Schizosaccharomyces pombe: one gene and its partners. The gene in region 4 interacts genetically with the main gene of each other region. Each region holds a gene or a part of one and is shown on either strand. Other genes may lie near its edges.

The links.
Region 1: of ppb1 (region 4) and pxl1, a mutation in one rescues a mutant of the other (synthetic rescue), as found in Schizosaccharomyces pombe (one study listed by BioGRID).
Region 2: mutations in ppb1 (region 4) and imp2 are lethal when combined (synthetic lethality), as found in Schizosaccharomyces pombe (2 studies listed by BioGRID).
Region 3: of ppb1 (region 4) and trp1322, extra expression of one rescues a mutant of the other (dosage rescue), as found in Schizosaccharomyces pombe (one study listed by BioGRID).

The regions. Positions count from the first base shown.
Region 1 is NC_003423.3:2,709,706-2,715,572, reverse strand, and holds pxl1 (paxillin-like protein Pxl1), read right to left. Parts: upstream 3,406-5,867; 5' UTR 3,062-3,405; coding exon 3,033-3,061; intron 2,977-3,032; coding exon 1,689-2,976; 3' UTR 1,366-1,688; downstream 1-1,365. Other genes in the region: erb1 (WD repeat/BOP1NT protein), read left to right, coding at 1-1,149; asn2 (asparagine synthase), read left to right, coding at 4,079-5,725.
Region 2 is NC_003423.3:3,345,966-3,350,952, forward strand, and holds imp2 (F-BAR domain protein Imp2), read left to right. Parts: upstream 1-1,934; 5' UTR 1,935-2,015; coding exon 2,016-2,084; exon of another isoform or gene 2,085-2,178; coding exon 2,179-2,270; exon of another isoform or gene 2,271-2,335; coding exon 2,336-4,008; exon of another isoform or gene 4,009-4,056; coding exon 4,057-4,235; 3' UTR 4,236-4,487; downstream 4,488-4,987. Other genes in the region: SPOM_SPBC11C11.01 (U2-associated protein), read left to right, coding at 1-323; protein tam11, read right to left, coding at 664-852; protein Ndc80, read left to right, coding at 4,883-4,910, 4,960-4,987. UniProt on the Schizosaccharomyces pombe protein: Required for normal septation. Involved in the disassembly of the medial ring during septation.
Region 3 is NC_003421.2:1,284,521-1,292,311, forward strand, and holds trp1322 (TRP-like ion channel protein), read left to right. Parts: upstream 1-3,369; 5' UTR 3,370-3,616; coding exon 3,617-6,205; 3' UTR 6,206-7,291; downstream 7,292-7,791. Other genes in the region: rpm1 (3' ssRNA-specific 3'-to-5' exonuclease), read left to right, coding at 1-1,515; pxd1 (protein Pdx1), read left to right, coding at 1,830-2,885; fyu1 (UTP-glucose-1-phosphate uridylyltransferase), read left to right, coding at 7,658-7,791.
Region 4 is NC_003423.3:2,871,261-2,877,292, reverse strand, and holds ppb1 (calcium-dependent serine/threonine protein phosphatase calcineurin catalytic subunit Ppb1), read right to left. Parts: upstream 3,372-6,032; 5' UTR 3,297-3,371; coding exon 3,158-3,296; exon of another isoform or gene 3,114-3,157; coding exon 2,907-3,113; exon of another isoform or gene 2,753-2,906; coding exon 1,434-2,752; 3' UTR 1,184-1,433; downstream 1-1,183. Other genes in the region: S-adenosylmethionine decarboxylase proenzyme Spe2, read left to right, coding at 1-1,060; oxa102 (translocase Oxa101), read right to left, coding at 4,166-5,395. UniProt on the Schizosaccharomyces pombe protein: Calcium-dependent, calmodulin-stimulated protein phosphatase. This subunit may have a role in the calmodulin activation of calcineurin. Appears to be involved in cytokinesis, mating, transport, nuclear and spindle pole body positioning, and cell shape.

The DNA of each region.
Region 1 (5,867 bases), 160 kb from region 4:
CTTCCTAAACTTCCTACCCCCTCTGAGCTTCGTCCATTTCCGACACGCTGCACCAATGTTTTCATCGGTCATAAAGGTCGTGTTCGTTGTCTTTCGGTCCATGTTAGCGGAAATTGGCTTGCAAGTGGAGGTGATGATGGAGTTTTACGTATTTGGGAAGTAATGACTGGTCGTTGTGTTTGGAAATGCAGCTTGGACAGTTTTGGTAATGCACATAATATTGATAGCGATGAGGATGCGGTTAATGAATCTTTAAGTCACTCTACAAAGAGCTCTATAATTCAATCACTTGCTTGGGGACCTCTTTCAGATAGTCCAGTGCTTGCTGTTGCTGTTGATGAAACAGTCTATTTCATCACACCCCCGATCTTTTCTGACGAGCAGATTGAAGCTTCTAAAGAATTGTTTACTTCTGCTCCTTACCAAGAATCTAGTGCAATATGGAGAAGAGGAGCCAAACAATCTTTACAATTACATGGTGGTATAGTCCATGCTACTGTTTCTACTCCCAGTAGCATTAAGTCCTTGTCTTGGCATCGTCGCGGTGATTACCTAGCTACTTCTTCTCCTACTTCTTCTAGCCAGGCGGTTCTTATTCATCAGTTGTCAAGAGGTGCAAGTCAATCGCCATTTTCTAAGTCTAAAGGTTCTGTGCAAGCTGTTACGTTTCACCCTACTATGCCTTATCTTCTGGTTGCTACTCAACGATATGTCCGCATATACAATCTTGTTAAGCAAGAGCTTGTAAAGACCTTGTTAACTGGTGTCAAATGGGTTTCGAGTTTAAGTGTCCATTCGAGTGGGGACCATGTCATAATAGGTTCCTATGATAAAAGGCTATGTTGGTTCGACTTAGACTTTTCTTCTAAACCATATAAAAATCTTCGATATCATTCACGTGCTCTTCGCGATGTCTCATATCATCCTTCCCTTCCACTATTTTGCTCTGGCTCTGATGATGGTGATGTTCAAGTGTTCCACGGTCGTGTTTACAGTGACCTTCTGGCTAATCCCTTGATTGTTCCTCTTAAGATTTTGCGGAATCATAAAGTGGTTGATAATGTCGGTGTTTTATCCACATGCTGGCATCCAAAAGAAGCCTGGTTATTCAGTGCAGGTGCTGGTGGAGAAATTCGGATGTGGACTTGAAAAAGGTTTGAAACGTCTTAAATATTTTTGTTTTCTTCACTTGCTTTAAAATTTAGAAAAACTCTACTTTTAAAAATAATGTTTGGTAGTGTTTACTGCAAAAGATACTTTTTCAATGCTGTATTATAGTTTTGCTAACAAGTCGAAAAGATTGTTTTCGTACTTGATTTTGGATATTTAATAGGAATATAGGGGTTTTCGAAAGTTTAAAATGCATTTGTGCAAACTGAATATGTTTTTATTTTTTATTTTTTGGTAAGTTATCTAAAGTATTTAAGTATTACGTGATATCAAAAATCGTAACCGTTGAAATTCAATAGTGCTTTTTATATATCTATAGTTACCTAATCATTAATTGCTTAATTATAAAAATACAGCAAGTTTAAATGCAAGTAAACATGCTGGACTTTGTGGATTAAATGAAATGATTTAAAATCTCCAAGATTTCCAAGACAGCTTTCCTTATAAAGCTAAAATCGATGAAAGAAGTGAAAAAATAACAAAAAAAAAAGAAAAAGAAAGTGATGAGTAAGTCTGAGTTAATCCAAATTAAACTTGACTGATATCGCCTTGCAAGGACGGCAAATAGGGGTATTTTCTATCATAAAATAACCCTCATCTCCAAGTAGGGCATTACAAGCTCCGCAGGTCCAACATTGGCTATGATATTCACCATCAGACCCTTTTACACTGATCCCCAAAATGGGTTTACGGCATTTCTTGCACTTAACAGCATACTTATTATCATAACAAGTCTGACACCAGTATAGGTCGTCACGGTAAATACAGGGTATATTTACATTAAAAACTTCAGAGCAACCAGCGCAAAAATGATGATTTTCATGAAACCAATCATTGTTGATATGGACCGCTTGGTCTTCAATTGGGGTTTTGCAGTGCTTACAGCGAGGACTGAACTGTTCATGATAGTCTAGATGACAATAAAATTTTCCCTCGCGGTAATAAAATCCAACGTGCTCTAAGTTCTGGGAACAAGTATCGCATTTGAAGCATTGAGGGTGTAATTTCTTTCCTGAAGCACTAATTATTCTGCCAGCGCGTAAAGAACCGCCGCAACTATGACAGGATTTTTCAGAATTGCCTCTATAAAGAACTGGTTTTGTAGATGTATGAGAAGATACCATTGAAGGCTTAAGTGAATCTGATTGAAATAAATTATTTGAGGACAAGTTGCTAGGCAATTGTGAAGTGGGGGTGGGCAAAGGATATAAGCTATTAGCAGGAGCAGAATGAAAAGAATGCAAAGCGGGTCTACGATTGGAAAGTTTACTGGATTTCTGTAAAGGAAGAGTAGGAAGTTGTTTGGATGCGAAGGTTTTTTGTCTGTCTTCAATGCAATCATGATCAACAAGCGGCTGTAAACCGGTATGACAATCGTAAACATTTCGTACGTCTGGATAATTAACATGTGAATTCAATTCCTCCGGCGAACTAGGAAACTCATCGTCGTCACTGTATGCAAGAGATGGCAATTCAGGTAAAAGCTCCTTTTTTAAGCTATCGAAAGTAGAAGTAGAAGCAGAGGTTAGTAGTGTTTTTTCCGGCGACGAAACATTAGAACGAGAGAGCTCGTCATCAGGCAGATCAAAACGTACACGATTTTGTTTTATTGTTGGATTCCTCTTGGACAAAGGAGATTCAGGAGTCTTCAAACTTGGTTGCGGTAATGGTGTAGCTATTCGACCTCCAGTAAAGTTAAGTGCTCCATCAGATAACCGAGAACGAACTAAATTGTTTAGCGGGGAGCCATTAGTAGAGACCGGCGAAGAAGGAGCAGCACGAGGACCAGTCAATCGACGTTCAAATCTACAAAAACGAAGTTAGATACCTAATTGGGTAATAACAATAAGACAATAGATTACCTTGGTAATTCTGGAATTGGTGAATGCATTTGCTGATATGCTTCTCAACTATCAGGACACTAATCAACGGAAAGAATTCAGGATCGTTGACAACCTTAAGAAATCAGGATAGCCAAGCTCGCAGGGTATAAATCTAGCCGCAACACTTAAAAACAAGATAAAAAATAGGAAGAGAAGGATAAGGAAGGAAAAACAAAAATCAAGCTGGGATTAACTTATAGAAAATTGTTGCCAACGTAAGGATATATATCTCAAAGAGCGGAGTCCCCCAAAAAAACTAGCTGTATTAAAAAAATGCAATTGTAAGCAAGTAGTTATTATTTAGAAAGCAGTAATATTTGCTTTATCCAAAGTGTTTTAGCTAATAAGTGTTGGCTTTGTTTAAGTGTATATTCCAAAATATAAACAAACATTCGTTGTTATAGAAACCAGCCTCATAATAGGTAACATTGTACCTTTAACGAATACTTAGAGAGTACGTATTCAATGTTTGTATACCAGCAGAAAGTAAAAAAATGCGAATATATTAGTAATTAAAGTGAATTAAGCCATTCCTATGCAGAAAATGTTCCAAACGAAATCAATGTTATTTGTTGGACAATTTTATATGTTGCGATTTCATAATATGGTACAATATCTTTTTATAATTTATTTTTTTTATACTTTGGCAGTAGATTATTGTGGAGCGCGTTATTAATGCTTACTGTATTGTTACAGCTCTTTAAATGTCATTAACTACCCCATTATGCTTTGTCAGGCATACAGCATTTCGCTTATTGTTTCATAAATAGAAACCTAATTTTGGCTTTCAAGCTACAGATTGACCTAAGAAAATTCTTTACCAGTTGTAAGTATAATTGTATAAGAAAAAATATGTAGACCCGTGAGTCTGTTCAGTGTGTAGTTACTTATAAGCGTTGCAATGTGTCGCAAAATGATATTGTATATAAAATTACGATCACACTGTACCACACAAACGTCGTTAAAGGAAAAAACACTTTTTTGACTGTAGATTTGTTAGAAGCAAAAGTGTTTGAGAATAGTTTATGTGCGGAATTCTTTTCGCCTTAGCGGAAGACAGAGATAATCTTCTTGAAAGTCCATCTTTTTCAGCTTTACGAAAAAGGATTCGGGCTAGAGGACCTGATTTTTTTGGTAAGCATAAATTGAATAGCGGACCTTGGAATTTGCACTTTGAGTCAAGCGTTTTGCATTTACGTGGCCCTTCTGATCATTTAACGCCTCAACCTCATGTTGACAGTTTTGGAAACGTTTTGTGTTGGAATGGAGAAATTTGGCAAATAAACCATAGCGATCATCACAAATTTACGCTCAATCGTAATGAAAACGACGGTGCAAAACTTTTTGAACTTTTAAACAATAACCCGGGCGACATTGAAAAAATTTTGGGAAGTATTCAAGGACCTTTTGCTTTTGTTTACTACCAAGTTCGTACAAACACATTGTGGTGGGGAAGAGATCGCTTAGGAAGAAGATCCCTTTTGTATAGTTTACGAGATAGTAATTTCGTTCTCTCAAGTGTAGGAAATTCTAGTGATTTCCGAGAAGTTGAGCCTGGGTTTCATAGTGTGCAGGTGGACTTGATCCCAAAAATTAACTTCTCTAAATCATTAATGCAACTGGAAAAAACAAACCCTCTTCCTCCTGTGGATGAGTCCTTTCTCATGGGCTCAATCTCTTCAGACACTGTGGACACATTGCATACATATCTTATCAAAGCGCTTCAAGATAGAGTTTTAACAATCCCCAAACTGTGCTCTTCAAACCTTGACTGTAGTCATTATAGCCGAGTTTGCGTTCTTTACTCTGGGGGAGTGGATTGCGGTGTATTAGCACGGCTAATGCACGACATAGTTCCCAATAACGAGTCCATCGATTTAATTAATGTGGCTTTTGAAAACCCAAGATTTACAGAGACATACCGTGACAGAGAGACGGGACTTCTTCCTGACAATTTTGATGCATACGACGTATGTCCTGATAGACAAACTGGATTACAAGGCTGGCAGGAGCTTATTTCAGTTTGCCCTGCTCGAAAATGGAATTTTGTTGCTATAAACGTTCCTTATACAGAAGTATGTGAAGCACAGGAAATAGTCAAAACACTTATCTATCCGAACGATTCAGTTATGGATCTTTCTATTGGATTAGCTTTTTATTTTGCTTCACAAGGGCGTGGTGTACTTTTACAAAACGTGGATGATATCAAACTGAAACATCAATTACCTTCCTATACTATAAAAGCTAAAGTCCTCATCAGTGGCCTGGGGGCTGATGAGCAGCTCGGTGGTTATATGCGGCACCTACGAGCGTTTGAACGGAAAGGTATGGCCGGTCTTGAAGAAGAACTGCAATTGGACATTGATCGTATTCCACATCGTAACTTGGGCAGAGATGACAGGGTAATGTCTAATCAAGGGAAAGAGGTGCGTTATCCTTTTCTCGATGAGCGTCTGATGGCTTTGTTTAGCAAAATGAAAACTACTGATAAAATGCGTCTAGATTTAGTTGGAGGTGACAAACTAATTTTACGTGAATTAGGACGTCGATTAGGTTGTCCCTTAGCTAGTCAAGAAAAAAAGAGGGCTATTCAGTTTGGTTCTAAAGCAGCAAAGATGACTCCTGGAACCGGTAGAACATCAGGTCGTAAAAAGTTAGAAGTTTGTATTTAAAAATAATAATAATAATAATAAATTATACTTGAGTATTTCATAAAACTACAAATGTTAACTCATCTCCAAAAGGGAATCAATAGATGAACTAAGCCTTCCTTGTTGCGCATTTAACACAACTTCAATCACTTCACTGTCAAAC
Region 2 (4,987 bases), 470 kb from region 4:
CATGGAGAAATTTTTCGGGAAATACCCCTCAATCACCACAAATAAATTCTGCTGCTTTGAAAGTGGAAACAAAGAATAGCTGGACAGCAATTTCTGAAGAGACTGAAGGACTTCAAGATGACGAAGAGTATAATGGTATTCCTGTCGATGTAAACGAATTGTTAAACGTAGAATTCATATCGCAAATACCAATGAGTACGGAAACAAGCTCCAGTTCAAGCCCGCAGCCTACGGAGGAACGGAAAGCAAAGTTCAAACCCAGTTTTACTCAAGGCACATTCGTCTCAAAGCGCATGCGTATGCATGCGGAGGATTTATTCTAGAAAATAGAAGAATGCAATTGATAAAAAAGAACTACACTTCTACAATTTAGAATATCGCTTTTCATATAAACAAGGTATGACTGATGTTAAATTTATCCATTTTTAACTACCCGTAATACTATTATACTTTAATGACAACGATTTTTGTTTTCTCTTTCATCAAGCATTGTATTGAATAACTTATAGACGAAGAATGCTATTGCTGCTGTGCAAACTGGCTTTATCAATTCGATATATAAACAGTTTTCGCCATGCATGGCTAAGATCGTAAAGTTCAGCATCACAAAAAGTTGGAGGATCATGTTTTAAAAGTGAGTATAAGTACTTGTAATTTTAGACACTACATTTTAGCAGGGGCTTCATCGGCTTTCGCCTCAGCACTTCTCTTGGAGTCGGCAGTATCGCTTTCCGACTTTACTGCTTTTCCAACGTCATCAAAAAAGTTGTTAATTCCATGTCGCACACGTTCAATACCATAAACAATCTTGTGGTCGGCTTTACGAACGTCTTCTTTACCTTCGCGTTCCATTATTTATAATTTCAGAGGATGTACAAAAAATTCAAGGTTGGTCGTATTATCAAAACTTCGCAAATGTATAGGGACAAAAGCAATTAATAACTTTAATCTCACCTAGTGTTTAAGTGTGATAGAATGAGTATTTATCACCAGTTGTTTTGTTAAAGAATAAACCGCCGAAGCCGGGCGGCTGCTGTATATATAGTAAACATATCAGCGTCCCTACCGCCAACCCATGACGTAAGTCGGGTTATTAAGAAATGCGATCTCGTGAAATAAAAAATAAGATTGAAAATAATGGAAATTGGAAGAAAAACCGAGAATTACAAGGGCGTTTTGTATGTACCTGATAAATGAATATGTTTAATCTATTTGACTCACATAAACGTTGTATTTATGTTTTTTTTAGTGTTTATTTATTTTTTCGATTAGTGTATTTCACTAAGTAAACAAATTATTATACGATTTTTTATTCACATCGAATGATGCTGCAGGTACAAATCGAGCTATCTAAAAAATATTACTTTTCAGTACGCCTGAACCGCTTGCATAGTATATTAAGTTTTTGATTAATAGCATGTTGCATTCCATTCAAAAATTTAATATTTTACATAGTAAAACGATTTGAGACGGGAGATAGCTATACAGAACGTGAAGTCTGCAAATACATACATGCTAAATCATTGTTTTATTAGCATAATGTCTAAGTCTATAAGTTCGCTTACCGGAGTTTATGGTAAGTATTTTTTTTCAGGACTGCCTTGGGTCGCTTCTCAAATCACAGTATTCACACATAATCAATACAAAATAGTGAGCAAAACTTGTGCGCTTAACAGAGATAACAATTATAGAGTCTCAAGGATGAATAAAGTGGACTTTGAATGAATCAATTGTTCACCATATATATCTCAGCATTTGAAGGCTTTTTATCTTTCCACTGCAATATTCTATTGCTTTTTTTTGATAGTTTAAGGCTGAAAAATCTTCATTACATCGGTTTTCTTGATAAATTTGTTAATTGTTGACATGAAAAGCTGCACCTGGCAACGCGTTGCCGTTTGTTTACCTCGTTGTTAGTTTCATTTACAATCAACACCACCACCATATACGAATAAAGAATACTGCCATAAAGGCGAGATTGAAAAATCTCTTAATTCGTGTTTTTTTCCGTTTACATGTCTCAACAATTAAGCTTTAATGCATCTTCAGCAAAGCCTGATAAAAGTTTTTCAAATTACTTTTGGGTATGGTGTCTAAGCCAACGTGGATAGCTCATTATCTGCCAAAACTTTCGATTTTTGTGTTAAACACAACACCTTAACTAACATTCTTTATTAGGGTGCAAATGATGAGGGTTATCATGCTTTACTTTCGCGTTTTAGCGATGTGAAACACATTAATGAAGAGCTTCGGTCGTTTTATCATGAAAGGTGAGAAATTTGAGGTGAAGCAGGGTTTAACATGCTATGATCGTTTATTCTAACTTCAACCTTAGAGCGAACATTGAAGAAGATTATGCCAAGCGAATGGCAAAGTTGTCTCGAACAACCTTCAGTTCTTTGGAAACTGGTTGCCTCAAAGAATCAGTCCAAGTTATGAAAGCTGAAGTTGACAATATGGCAAAGTCTCATTTGCAGATTTCTCAGTTGCTTCAGGATGATGTCGAAAATGCGTTTACGCGGTACGCTGCCTCTTTAAAGGACAAGAAAAAGATGATCGTTTCGGGGATAGAAAAAGTTCATAAGGATAAACTCTCCAAGCATCAAGCTCTTGTTAAAGCTCAAGACAAATACCATTACTTGTGCAAGAAAGTAAATTACTATGTTTCTCAGCAAAACATGCTTTTCGGAAAGGAGCTAGAGAAGAACAATGCGAAATTAAACAAGACTCAGAATGCTATCACTGCTAGTTCTTCTGACTATCAATCAGCTGTAGCAGCTGTCAGAGATTCATACGCTCGTTGGACCAACGAATGGCGGTCAACCTGTGACAAACTTCAGGACATTGAAGAAGAAAGAAGACATTTCCTGAAAAGCGTCATGTGGACATTTACACTACTTATCTCTCGTAGTTGCTTTAATGATGATCAAGCATGTGAACGAATTCGCAAAAATCTTGAACAGTGCAGTGTCTCTCAGGATGTTTTGGAATTTATTGACGCAAAATCTACAGGAACGGGAATTCCTCAACCTCCAAAATTTTATGACTATTATAAGGGCGAGGTTCCCGATGATTCTGTAGAGTTGGTTCAGGCTAATTTTCAGCGGGCCCAAACCAAAATAGAAAATGACAACATGCCATTGAATCGTCCATACGTCCTTTCTGCCACCGCTCGTAATGAGTCGTCCTTCGAAAATACCCTTCCTAATACTCCTAGTGCAATTCAATCGCTTACCACTGTTTCTTCTAACTCTTCCCAAAATGGTAGAAGCTCTCCAAAGAAAAGCTTTTTGAGTAAGTTTAAATTAACGAGTCGTCCTTCGACTCCAAACGTTGGTAATACGGCTCCGGATGCATTATCAAGTCCGAGAAATGACTCTCCTTTAACTTCAGCGGCTGATGAACAGATGAAGCATCTTTCTTTACAAGAAGAGCCAAAACAGAATCCTACGCCTGCTGCTCCTGGTGCCTTCCCTAACTCTAATACACTACCACCAAGGTATAACGAACTTGGTTCTCTACCAAGTCCTAATTCTGTTTCTTTCACCGAGGACTCCCGCCCAAATGTTAACACTCCATCACGGCGTCAACAAATTCAGGAAGAATTTGGTAGTGTACTACAAATGGAGAATCGTGCGGTTTCACCCGTTTATGATTCAAGAAAGAATGGATCTCGAAGTTCATTCACATTGAGGAAAAGTAGGTCACCAAAACGTCCTTCCTCTTCCCTTTCTCAGAATGCCAGCCGACTTCCTCGTTCCTTAACACCAGGAAATTTAGAGCCAAATTATGATTTCGGTGTTCGAGTTGATCCAGCAAGTGGTACTGCACCTACCGATGACGAGCCTTATACTGATCGGGACTCTTCCTTTGTTGATGATACAATAAATACAAAAGCTACTGGAAACACGTCTAACCGACTTTCTTTACCTGCATATCCTACAGACGGCGGTGACACCAGTATTGATAATCCAACAAGTACAGATGGTCAACGTATTCTTGGTTATGGTATGTCTAATCTGTCCATCGCTATTACAATTACTAACTTGAATTTAGTATCTGCTTTATATGATTATGATGCTGCAATACCCGAAGAGATAAGCTTCAGGAAGGGAGATACCATTGCAGTTCTTAAGCTTTATGAAGACGGCTGGTGGGAGGGATTTGTCGTTGGAGAGGATGACCATAACCGTGGGCAATTTCCGTCAAATTTTGTTCGTGAAATCGAGGTTTAGCTTTCGTATTATAGTTTCGCATTTTCTCATCTTTTCTCATTCTCATTTAAATCTAAAATACTAGATTTCTAATTTTGGTTGTTTTACATTATAGGATATTTAGAATGCTACACGTTTAGTTAAGTTATCTACATTATAAGATTATTATCTTATAAATCTTTATGAATTTTGCAGATTAAAATGATACCGATTGTTATATATAGCATTATGTTCAAAATGATTGAATTATTGTCATTCATTGCACCATTTTCTACCTAAATATTTCTAGTAATTCTCGTTTGCTTCTAAAATTCTGTAATAACTTAAAAAACATCAAATCTTTACCAATCTAAGTTAACACACAGGTCTATAATAGCTTCATGTATAACTAATTACTATTTCCTAGTAAGCTGTGACAACGTGGCCGAGTGGTTTTAAGGCGTTCGCCTGCTATTCTGTAGCCCAGCGGATTCCCTTTGGGAGCGCAGGTTCGAATCCTGCCGTTGTCGATATCTTTTTTAAGTTGCAAAGCGATTCACTATAAATTTTTGCGGTTCTATATTGGAAATCGCTATTCACTGTTATTTTTGTTACTTAGCAAAGTGGTTTTGTTGTTATAACTAACGTCTCCAACGATAAAAGACAACAATCTGCTTGTATTACTATAAATGCAAGATTCTTCCTCTTACGCGAGGCGTATGTTTTCTTTTTTTTCTTTTGACTAATAAGTTAACAATAAGTTTAGGGTATTCACAGGCACCTTCTTCATCTAA
Region 3 (7,791 bases), on a different chromosome or scaffold from region 4:
TCATGGCAGCCCCCGAGGTTGTTTCAACAGGAATACAGCATTGCTGGCCTTGGTACTAATCCTCAGTTAGATGCTGTGTATGAACGTGAGTGTAATCACTTTAAAAAGTTTGTAAAAAATGAATTAAAAGATTCACTTGAATCGCAACGCGTCGATTTAAGGCATCTTAAAGCGTTCGCCTTTGATAGTTCTTCTACGAAAGAGATAGATGATGCGATTTCGGTTGAAGAATTAGGGATGTCTAATTCCTGGCTTCATATCCATGTTGCTAATCCTACGAGTACAGTTGACATTCGCAGTCCTTTAGGCACGTTTGCTGAAAGGAACTTTCAAACTATTTATCATCCCAACAAAATTGTGTATATGCTACCTCTCAATATCACTCAGAAATATTGGAGTTTAGATTCATCTTCTACAGCTCAAAGAGCATTAACTTTTAGTGCTAAAATTTCAAAAAATGGCGATATACTTGATTACAAGGTTCGGCCTAGCTTCATTTCCTCAGTTATCAAATACACACCCCAACAACTGGATAAAGCTTTGCATAGTAATCGATCAATTGCGAAAGACATCGTTTCTGGACCAGTGGATGAGGAAACAAAAGGAGTATCAAATGATCACATGAAAGATATATTAAGAATATATGAACTTTCGAAACAAGCCTGTTTTTCTAGGTTACAAAAGTTTGCGTTTGTTATTGCACAACCCACTCCGACAGTTGAATTGCTGCCTAATAATGTCCCTTATAATCTTGGTGATCTGAATCATCCAGTATACTGGTCTTCCTTCCCTACAATTAGTTTGAACGTTAGTGAAGGGTATAGCTTGGCAGAATCAGTAATATCAGAGTGCATGATATTGGCTGGCCGGGTTTCATCATTATTTTTTCAAGAACATAAATTACCTGGGATTTTTAGGGGCCAGCCTTATCCAATTATGGATGGTGTACGAAGAAAAGCGTTTGAAACTTTGTTAAGTAACAGGTCATCTTGGGGACTCGTTGAAACTAAGTATTCACTTTCTGTAATGCCTTTATTTGAAAGTTCACATTTAGCCTCCACACCTGTTTCCCACTTTTCTTTGGGGCTAAAGGATGGCTATATTCAGTCTACCTCTCCTTTACGCCGGTTTACCGACTTCTTCACTCATCATCAGATTCAGTCGGTATTATTAAAGACTCCAAAAAATACTATACCTGATGGTATTCTTCGTGGAAAACTAAATTTGTACAACCAAAAAGAAAAATCAATTAAAACTATAGGAAGATACATTAATCGTTTCTGGGCCTTAAAATATATAGAGAGACTTCCAAAGGTACAAAAAAATATTTATCATGGATATTTAATGGTTTCAGAACTTTCAACACCTCAGGTCATGTTGGAAGAATTGGGTGTTAAAGCGCATATTGATATTCTCCCGGACGAAGCATTCCGGTTAGCAAATACTCGCCAGGCATTTACAATTAAGGATGTCTTTCCGGAGTCTAATATCCTATTAGTTGCTTTAGCGACCTAACAAACTTATTAAAACTATTTTTATGGATATAATTTTACTTAATTAAATACTCAATCCTGCATTTTATCAATTTACCGAGACTTAACGATATAAATAAATTATGTTTTGGGATTTGATAGTAACCTGTTTCGCCAAAACTCATCTCAAAAACCAACAGGTAGTTTTACTATGAAGTCTCTTTGTTAACCTTGACTCTTGTGATTAAAATATATTTTCTTTTTCTATTTTTTGTAAGACAAGAAGCAAATGTCTTTGGATGCTTATAAATCCATCGACGAAGTGTGCTGCGTTGTTTAAAATCTAAGTTAAGAAAAATGATTGAATCTAAAGGTGAAACAGCACCCTCTTTAAATTTAAACGACGTTAATGTTGAAGAAAATGATGCTGCGCAAAGTTTTGCAGAGAAGGTTCAGCGGTTTCGATACCAGATGAAAGTCCATGCAGCACCGCGACAGAAAACGCTGCATTCTTTCCTGAAAAAGGATAATGCTAATATTCATGACTTTACTAAAGTTGAGAAACCACACATTCGTTCTTCTAAATCGAAGGTTTCTTATAACAGTATTACATCAAGAGTTACCAAATATTTTGAAGAAAAAAATAATTCCGTTGATCAATTGCATTCAGAAAGCTTGACCCCATTAAGCTTTGGCCATACCATTCCCAAGAAAAAGCCGTTACTTATGACGGCTTCTGTTTCAGAAGATTCTAGAGTTCGTGTTAGTAAGAGACAATTTAAGTCCAAAGTTGTTCATCCAGAAATTGCTATTTCTATTGCTAAAAGGCATAAGCCAAAGTTTCCTCTGTCTGATGAACTCATGAATGTCGAACCTGGGTTCCACCACAGCAATATCGGTTGTCAAATTACGCCTTACTTATGGATATCATCATTTAGAACTAATGTCTATTACCTAATTGGAAATGAGGGTGACTTATTGTCCCAACAAGTACCTTCGATAAGTGGGGAGTTAAACATGTTGAGAGGAGTATGCACCCGTATCGATGATGATAATCGCTATGATATTGAACAAGCTGGTTCTTGTTTTGGTATGTCGGTATTTCCAACCTCTGATTCTGGAGAAGAGTCTTTTACCACCCTTGAGTCCGATCCGATAGTTAATTGCGAACACGATGAAAAGAAAGTTGCTGATAATCTCCTGGTTCCTCAAGTAATGTGTTCTTCTAATATTTCAACGTTCTTTCGAAGCCCTGGTGGAAAAAAGTTGTATCATTATTTATGGAAAAATTCAAATGCCCTACGTATTTCCTCAAACGACCTTCTCGAAATACTTTTAAAGCACGGTGTTTATGTATCTTTGGACACTCTGCACTCGTGGCTTCAGGAAAGAAACGTAAATTTTGAAAAGTGAAATATTTATGTTAGACTAAGTATAGCAAACTTTTGGCGAGCTGGTCCCGTAATGATGATTTAATGTACGTTATATATCTAACAAGTCAAGAATATTATTTCAATAATTTTAAATGTATATATTTATGTGATAAGTTAGAACTAAAAATAACGAGTAGATAGCTTGTCTTAATTTTGAAGGACCAAAGCAGAAGGGACTTTATGACTCGAGTTTTAAACGTCTTTGAGAACGTTACTGAGTTCTTCTTGTCTTATTTGTTTTTTTTTATATCTCAATAGCGCTGTATGGTTTATAATATATGCATATAAAGCGCTAATGTTAGGACCTTTTCTTGAGCAGATTTGTCTTTGGAAAATAACGAAATAGTATATTATTATGTTATTTATTTAACGAGCCGGAAATTTTTCATAAAATTTCACTAACGTGCTGCGTAGTTAATCTTTATTATCTAATACTAGGACAAGGAACGCGAGAGCATGTGTTTGTCATTAACTACACACACGAGAAATAGCAATTTATGTGTTTCGCGTCTCTGGCCTACTTATATCTTACAAAGCATTCATTTTTTGAAACCTTCTTTTCTTTCTAAATAACTGCATTTGTAATTGCTCAAATTACCAACCCTGAGCAGTTAAAGTCTTTTTCAAATTTCGTTTCATAGAGAATCAAAAGAATTCAAGGTTGGATCTATTTATATTAAAATTTATTAGAATGTTTGTGTTTGGATAATAATGAAGCCTCGCCCGTACTCTGTTTTCCTCTTTCTTCATATCGTTTTTTACAGCCTTCTTTCAGCAGTGAATGGATCCCCAAGTTTGGATTATTTTGAGACTTGTTCAAACTTTGTACCGAGAGCAGGTATTCCTACCTTTAGCCCATATGCAGTTATCAAGAATTTTGATGAAGTGAATCGGATGTACTACATTCAAGTAGTGGGGAATTTATCCGGAGTTATAACGATTGTGGGTGGAAATGGCTCACATATTCACGCTGCTTCAGTTTATTCGGAAACTTATGCGTTAGGAAAACTGGTCACATCCAATACCACAAAGCTTTGTGATGTTGTTATGGATCCTCATTCTTTTGAAGTCCCCATAAAATGTCCTTGGGCAGCTGGAAGTGCCGCTTTCATGGTTAAAGTTCCCTTTAAATCCACCTTGTCCGATTACTCAAAATACGAATTGACTACATTAACAACGCGAGTAATCGTTGTTGACGGTACTCCCGAGAAAAATGTAATAACTTGTATGAAGTTTGGTTTGTCCACAACTTTGTATTATTTTTATCCAGTTATTTCATATTTGGTTGTTGTGTCGCTCGCATATGTCTCGTTTTCCATTATTTATGCTCTTTTTTTAAATCCATGGACCGGCAGTTTAGATCCATTTAAGTCGATTTTTAATTTTAATATGGACCCTGATGCTCTTCGTTTAACATCCCTTGGATTTTTTGATTTTGTGCAATACTTGCAATTTGCTGTTTCTACAGCTCAGGTTAGTGTTATGTTTCCAAAATTTTACATAAATATTATGGCTGCTCTTTCTTGGGGCACTGCTCTATTTCGATTTCCCATTTTCTCCGAGCCTGCTGAATATCAATTTGCAGACTTTGCCGACTTGTCTGTAGCATCCTCTAGTTATGCGGATTATTTGCCTAAGTCATATGGCATGTATTCGTTTCTCGATTCTATAGGAATAGGTACTGCATGCTGGCTTCCGTTTCTTATAGTCATGGTTATTTACTTATTTGCTGCGTTATTTGTAGCATTGTTGGTTATTTTTTTGAAATGGCTTATGTCTAGAATTTTCAATGAAACTATTGCCGAAACTCGGTGGGATACTTGGAGCTTCATTGCTGGTTCTCTGATACGTCTTTACTTCTTGACATATTTCCCTACCGTCGCTTATATGTCATTCCAGTTTGTCGCACCGCCCACAGGTTATGAAATTATCCCCGTTTTGTGGTTTATCTTTTTTGGAATCTTTATTCCGGTGTATTTATATATGAATCTCGCTTTTGTTGAACCATCGTCCAAACTTCTTGAAGATCAAACATATTTGCATTTATTTGGCTCTATATACAATTCGTTTCGAGAAGAGAGAGTTATGTTTTGGATCTTTCCAATTGCCGTACAATTTATGCGTGGTATTACGGTTGGTGTCATAGGAAGTTCCGGCTCTGCACAATTAGCCATATTCTTTATACTTGAAGTTGCTAATGTCGTGGCGTATGCTTATGTGCGACCACATTTCCCGCAGACGAGTATGAATACGTTAAACACCTTCATCTCTACCATGCGCTTGATCACGGTTATTCTAATGATTCCCTTAGATCCTCGATTAAAGGTTCTTGGCATTAGTAGAGATTTACTGGCCTATGCAATTTTGTTTATTCACATAATGGTTTGTATCCTTTTCTTACTTCTGTCAACTCAACGATTTATGGAAGTCAGTGCACGGTTATTAGGTGCTAAAAGTGAGAGTAAAGGTGTCCCACTCGATCGACCATTTGGTTGGGCCAGGGTATTTGGTATTAATGAATTGAGACGCCGGCGTCTTAAGGATCCATATTCCAATGGCAACACAATGATGTTTGATCATTCTACCTACAACTCAAATGAAATGTCAGTGCCACTTACGCCAGTCTCCGTTTGTTCTAATTCCCTTAAGAAGGATGGCGAGGCTGCTCCGCCAAAATTATTCGTTCAGACTAACTGTATTCCTCCAGTTACGCAAGCGTCGAGTCTTGTCCCTTCTAAGAACAATACAGCATCTTCAAGTAGTCTAATGTTGGATTCTCCTGTTACTCCCAGTTCTCCATACAGCACATCACAAGGATATTCATTTTACCGTCCACCTAAACCAAAGTCATCTGTTCGTAAACGGGACATGGATCAACTACGTGCTTTACAATTAGACTTTTTAAACAACAAGCCTAATTTACTACGCCATGATGTTAATTACGCGGTTCGTGAGGCCGATGTCTATCATCCACACGTAGACACAAGTATTGACAGTCTATCGCAAATCTCTTCGCAACCATTTGAAATGAGGCCCACTGCTATTCCACCTCCTCCGAAAAATGCATTTCAACGGGCGTGGCAAATTGTCCAATCAACAGCTAAGTCCATATGGCACTCAGACCCCCCGAAAGAATCTGAAAAAGGTTTCGTCGTTTTACGTTCTCGTCCACGGCCAAATTTGCAAAAGCCTCTTCCTCAGTTGCATATAGAGCCTTCCCGTGATGAACAGTACTCCATGGAGAGAAAGAAAACCGATGACTCATTAGCGGAGTCAGCCTGGTCGATTCCACATCCATAACTCCACTTTCGTTCGTTAATGTTTATGATTTGTGAGAATTTTGTTTTGTTCTTTTATTTTCACTTTTCATTTTTCATTGTTACACTTTACTTTTGCTGTTTCTTATTTCGAAATACGGAACGTATTCTTTTTTTAATTTATTTCAGTCACATTTTGAACCTCTAATTGTTTCTTTTTGAAACGTTTTTTTTCGCTATTATGACGGTAATCCTATTTTTTCTCTTACCTGTCTGCTCTCTTACTACTTCATTTCATTAAAGCTTGCATTTTTTTTTCCTCTCCCATACAGTTTCATTTACTAAAGGCCAAATTTAATAATCCCAAAATCTCGACTTTTGTTGTCTTAATATAGCACAAGTGCTTTCTTTGCTCTATCGGCAGCCCATTAAAGTCGAAATTTTTTTTCGTTCAATTTCGTATATTTTGTTGTTGTTGTTGTTCCTTTTATTTTAATTAGCATTTTCTATTATCCACCTGCCTTTTCATACCAATCTAATGCTCGTTTTTTCCCTAAATCTTTTTTCGTTAACCTTTTATGGTTCTTACATTTTCTCAGTTATCAAGTTAGCTAACTTTCTTTAACTCACATTTCTTTATTATATAAGGTTTTTTTTCATTAAAGAAGCTTGCTTAATAATTCGTTTTTTTTTGTTTTTCGTTTTTTTGCTGACAACTTCAAATCCATATTACTTTCGCCTCGCTCTGCTTAGCAGAACCTTTGTTTGAATTTCTACTCGCCTTCCTTGGCCTTTTTTTGCATACACTAACTAACTAGTTGGTTCATTTTTAGAGATCTACTGCGTTTTGCATATAGTTAGTTAATAATGTTCATATTTTAGAGCCATTTTCCATCCTCCATCGGCTAATAAGTGGTGTTTTCCGTCTACATTAAGTACCTCTCTTTATGAATAATATTCTTATATCGGATATTTCCAAACTTTTCGTGTACATTCGATTTCGATAGCTGTTGCGATGTTGCCTAGGTAACTACGTATAAAACCTTGGAACACGGTAATTGATTATTGATAATTTGTTTACGTACGGCGAAAACCCCACCAATTGATTTCCGCCGTCATAACAACCCACTTTCTTGTTGTAAACAAATTTGTAAATAAATAAAAATTTTACTTGCGTTCAGCAAGCATGTTTTTCGCAATAAACCTTTAGAATGCGACGTTGGAATAGATTGAAATTTTTTGTAGATTTATTAATGTCATGTATGATTTAACAAACGTTTATCGTCCGTTTGGCCATGCTCAAAGTTGAAAATTGTCGGTTGTTGTTTACACGTAATCTAAACAAATGTCGACAGGAAAGGTGACGTAAGTGCCGCTATATAAAACGAGCACCTACTTGTAACTTACTCTCTCCGTATATCATAACAAACATTGAAATTGTTTGTTTTAGAGGTTTAAAGAGAACGTTTTAACTTCGAAAAGAGACAGAAGCACTATGGATTTGGCACCACGTCCCCTCGGTCGTCAGCACAGCAAGTCGCAATCGGCTTTTGCTTTTGACAACACCGCTACCAGTATTGCTGCCAGTACTATGAAGAATGAGCTGAATCACTTGGCTAGCACCGTAAA
Region 4 (6,032 bases):
GCTGGAACTATGGTTTTCGGCTCCTATAAAAACCAATTTAAGTGCGGGTGAAAAGGCTAACTTGGGACTAAAAGCTGTTTCTCGCAATGATTGGGATGATATGCTAGCCCAAGCCCAATGTAAAGTCCTCAGCGTTGTTAATAGTGAAGAAATAGATGCATATTTACTTTCTGAATCCTCTATGTTTGTGTTTGCCCATAAAATTATCCTTAAAACATGCGGAACCACTACACTACTGGCTAGTTTGCCTCGCCTATTAGAAATTGCTTCTAGTGTTGGCTTTGATCGTCCTCTTCGTATTTTTTACTCAAGAAAAAACTTTTTATATCCCGAACGCCAGCTTGCACCACATACGAGTTGGGAGGAAGAAGTTCGTTACTTACAACTGTTTTTTCCAAGTGGATGCTCTTATGTAGTGGGTCCGACAAACAAGAATCACTGGCATCTGTTTTCTGATCTGGCTGATGATTATTCTTTACTGGAAGATTCCCTTGATCCTGAAGATGAGACCCTAGAGGTACTCATGACTGATATGTCTCCCGAACGCTCGCTTCAGTTTTACGCTCCATCCTTGGATGTTGTTCGGAGCGCTAGAGGTGATGACTATGTTCGAGAAAAAAACAATCTCTCGGGGGGTCACATCCTTGGCAGTTATGTAGCTGATGAATCGGGTGTTAGAGACTTATGTAGTACCTCTGATAAAAAAGCAGTGCTTGATGCTTTTCAATTTGAGCCAATTGGGTTCTCGTCGAATATGATTTACAAGGACCGCTATGCCACAATCCATGTTACGCCTCAAGAACATTGTTCTTATGCTTCATTTGAAACAAATGTTTCGCAATTCCAATTCGGAAGATCCATATCTGAAACAATCGAAAAAACTGTTAAAACTTTTGGTGCAAACAAATTTTGTCTTACCCTTTTCCAGGCTAAAGGTGCGTCTCAAGAGAAGCATTTCTCGGCCAAACTTAAATCTTTTAGCTCTTATAAGCGTGAAGAATTTATAGTGTATGACTTTCCTGGATATGATCTTATATTTGCCAGCTTTACTGCAGTATAAGTTCGGAGAACAGTCAGCTAGATATTTTAAATTATCTGTTGCTATATTTATTATCATTCTTTTTTACGGTGGAGCGTGCCATGCGAATACCCCTTTTTACAATCTTTCATTATGCAAAAAGTAGTCGTCTTTTGTTTGCTTGTTTTATAAAAGGTTTCATAGTTATGAATACCAAAAAGTTTATTATGAATATCTAAATGCAATGCTTATGTATCTAGTCATCGGTTATCTTGTATTATGCTAAAGTAAACTCATTTGCTTTCTTTATTTTGAGTGTTTAGATATTTGTTGTAAGTATGCTTAAAACCTCGGATCAGGTTTATGCTCATTGAAAAATTCCAACTAAAAAACGAATATGCGCAGGTTTTGGTATCTACAAAGAGCTTTTCTTATCTGCAAAGCGTTCTACCAAATGATCGATAGAGGTATCATCTTCAGACGAATTCATTACTTCTTCGAAAGCCTTTAAATCCGTAGAACGTCGACGGCTATTAGATGGCGGTAAACGTTCATTTTGGATATCCAGCTTACGAGCATCATCGAAGGAATTGATAGCATTTTTGATACCCTCAGCTCCCAACATTAAAGTACCCGCAGGTAATCTTTGCGTACCTGACACGTTTTTCAGTTCCGAAACACTTTCCCGTTCTTCTCTAAGCACACTGAATACTCGAGAGATACGGCCAATAGCCATAATCTTGTTTTTAATAATTTGCCTACGAGCTTCAATATCAATTTCTTGGTCGGCTTTATTTTCATTCTCAGATGGAGCAGGCTGTTTATGCTGAGTCGGAGCCGATTCTTTCAAATCCGTTTCATAAAGCTCCTCCTTAGAACATATATTGAGCATTGAAATCAACATTTCAGAAACTTTTTCGCCCACAAATGGAAGACTCCAAGTAAAAACATCCATAAAGTTAGGAAGCCAGTAAGGATGAGGGGAACAATTAAATTGTCTTATATTCATTACATTATTTTCGTATTTCAAAACAGCAGCTTTATTATTGTAAACATCCAAATAGTTGGGTGCTGAAAATATGGTCATCAAAGATGGAAACCCGGTTGTTTTAGTTTTGCGATACATTCGATAGCCCACATCTTGAGCTTCATGAGCACGAATAACGGAGAGGAGATTATTGTTTTCTAAGAAGGTGCAAACAGCTTGGTAACTATAAAAGTAAGAACAGCCACGAACATTATTATGAATAAAATGCTTGTTTGATTTTTCCGATCCAAAATCTTCAAGGGGATCAGACCAGAGTAAATCACACATCAACCCATGAGTTGGAGGCTCACAAAAACGATTGATCATTCGTATATCATTCAAAGTATGTAGTTCGGGTGATAATCCACCATGTACACATAAAAATTGCTTATTCATAATAGCTGCCAAAGGAAGGGCATTAAAAGATTGTAAACAAGCTTCATAAACTTTAATATTATACTTATGAGTACATTCTAACTTGAAGGTAAAATAGTCAGTAAGATGAGCGCATTCGTGATTGCCACGAAGCAACCAAAGCGTTTTCGGATACCATATTTTCAAAGCCCACAAGTACAATAAACACTCAATTGAGAAATATCCTCGATCCACGTAATCTCCAAGGAAAAGATATTGGGTATTTGCTGGATTACCTCCAACTTCAAATAGTTTCATAAGATCATAATATTGGCCGTGAATGTCACCGCATACTAAGCTGTCAGACCGAAGAATATTGCAATACAAACAAAATATCGACCCAAATTAAAATGAAGGAAAAACATAGTCATAAATTACATTTCAAAGTTCTAATATTTTACCTTATAGTAATTAGGGCCTAAATATGAAAGGTGATAATCAACATACCAGTGACAGGTGCATCCACCTCAATCAAGTTGTCTTCTGACTTCAAAATTTCTGTAGCCTTTTTTATAATATACAACGTTTGTTCCTCAGATAAACGGCCTTCCCGAATGAAATGATTGCGAAGAAAATGCAAGTCAGGTTTATCAGGTTCATTAATATCAAAAAACTCCACGTCCGTCGGAATATAAGTTGCTGGTGCTTGAACATCTTTGATTGTTAATAAGACTAATTTCTTTCAAAAATATCCGTACTTTTCACTACTCTATCCAGTGTGCTAACACTAGAGCCATCTTCTTGAACAAATATTGTAAAATCATGAGAAGGAGCTTGATTTTTTTGGCGAATTGCTCGAACTATTGGGTCTTCTAAATTATGAGGACCCGAAGTCATATTAGTAACTTTTGCAAGCCTATATACAGCCTGGGTAAAATGCTAGATATTCTTGCAAAAAGTTTTGGTAGATTCTGGTTTGTTATACTTACATCGTCCCGGCGGTTTTGGAAAATGGTTTAACGAAAAGCAAAGAAATTCGTAATTGCTTTTCTCAATGAACCATGTGAACAAAAAACATATCTGTTTACAATTCTAAGTACTTTTTTTTTTTTTTATAATATAGATATATTTCATCATAATCTTTACTTCTGTATATTTAAAAATTTACAAACAATCGCCGCTTAGACAAACATATCTTAATAACCAATCGTGTTAGTAATAAGAAATGAACTTGTAGAAAGGGAACCCAAATACTACCTGAATTCCTTCCTAATTATATTGCCTTGCTCATTTTTGAGAGAAGCAAACTAAGTTGATTTGATGAAACTTACATTCCATGATTACCTAACTGAAATAACGATAGTTTTATTGATAAAATAAATATCCATAAAACACTTTAAGAGTTAATAATCATTTTATTTTTTGTTTAGACGGCTACGTCAAATTTTAGGTTATTGTAAATATTCTTTGATTTCTCATCGCTTTCCGTAGTAAAGAATTAGACAAAAGCGATTTTTAGAAAGAATAAGCAAAATAAATGTAAATTTGGGTATTTTATTAGAAGTAAAGGAAATAGAAAAGAGTGTTGCAAGTGTGAAGATATATGCAAAAACTAAAACATATGTAAAATTATGGGATAAAGCCAAAGGAAAGAAATGAATAATGCAACAAATGTAAAAAATTAACCATATCTTACAAACTTTTATGCTCTCAATAGGACATTGGAACACTTCTAAGAAAGAGAATTCCAAAGCACACAAAAAAGCTTAATCTTTCTTCTCGGTGGGTTTGGTAACAGAAGAGGACTTGTCATTTTGAGAATTATCAGATAGCGTAGTAGCTTTGGTAATTGTACTATTATTAGTAGGTTTTTGCTCATTGTTTGTATCGGTTTTAAGGAAACGTGTAGCATCTAGTATTTCAGAGGCTTGTGGGTATTTACCTTTTTCTTGAACCCCATGGACAATATCGGTAAATGACTTAACAAACGATTCATTTTGAGCGTTCGGTACTGGCATAGCAGATGGGACTTCTGGTAAGCCAAGTTTATGCCTTATGGTGGATGAACGCAAAAATGCCCCTTGAAATACACTGAAGACATTGCTAGGAAACCAATACATAAAAATTGCCATAGGAAAATTCATAGTGAATAGTGGACTGGCAAGGCAAAGAAATCTAAAAAATTTTTTCATTGAGGGAGACATAGCAACCTTATTACTTCCAGTTTCGCTACCAAGCTCTATATTGAGCAGCATAAGAAGGCCGTTTGCAACCGGAAATATGTGTAGAGGATCAGGCTGGGATAAATCATTAACCCACCAAAAACCACCATCAGTGAAACCCTCTACAGGTACACCCGCCATTGTCTTCAACGCGTAAAAAAAGCTAATAAACAGAATTCCCTGAAATACAGGAGCAGAAAGCAAATTCAAAGGGTTAACATTGTTAACTTTATAAAGGTTTTGGATTTGAGTGGTAGCTTGCATCATTAATTCGCTGTTTCCTTCAGCCTTTGCTTTACTCAACACACTCATGTGTTCAGCAACCTTTGGGTTAATGATAGCGAGCTTTGCGGACGTTTTCATCATCTTTAACATAATAGGAAATACTGCAATTCTCATAGCAACAGCACATGCAGCAATTGAAGCCCACCAAGGAAGGCCGCTCCAAATATGAAGCGTATTAAGGCCGTTTTGGAGGATATTATGAGGTAAGAAAGAAAAAGATGCTAAGACGGAGGACGACAATGGCAGACTAGGAGTGTAAACCACTTTCTCGGACCTAGATTTGGGGAAAGAAGTCGAAGAGTTGTGAATTTTTATTAAGGAAGAAGTACGCTGATTTCGGCCAAGCTTAGCAAAAGAGAAATTCTTAAAAAATGTATTATGTGTGTGGATCTGGCGAATCTTCGCTCCTTGTGTAGCAATCAAAAAGCATGATACCGAGTAATGAGATTTCGAAGAAAACTTTATTCCTCTTCCAATGACTGAAAACATGCTTGATTAATAGTGAAGCTCGAACTTCAAGGATATATGTTTTTACAAATCGAAGAACCAGCTAATGTTTATCCAAGATACCCAAAAATAAAATGAAGCGATTAAACCCAAAAAAACATATAAATAGATCCAAAATCCTCTAATAAAAATTTAATTGCAAGTTAAAAGTGGGTAAATTAACTGGTAAAATAACCTGAAAAGGTAGTAGAGATATTGAAATTTAGTTGTGTGCGCGTTGGCACACGGTGTAGTGTGGTATCTGTCGTTATATAAGTAAATACATACTATTTTTTGACTATTTATAATTAGATTGTTTCACACAGTTAAATCTGACACAAGCGTCAAAGTCAACAATGAAAATAAACTAGCAAAGCGATCGTTTGACCAATAATGACATTGGTTTATGTTACAAAGAAGTTAGTGATACATGTGTTTTTTGATTTAGAAGTTATGGCAAAAGCGGTTATTGATTCTAAAGAGGATATAAAGATTTAAGCGAGTTCTCTTATTTTTTTTTTTTACATTTCCTTGGTATATTGAGAAACGAGTCTTTGGTTAAACATGAATAGAATATGACTATAGTACATGTTTAGTTATAGTGAGTAATAGTGGATATTAATACTAACGAATTGCAGTG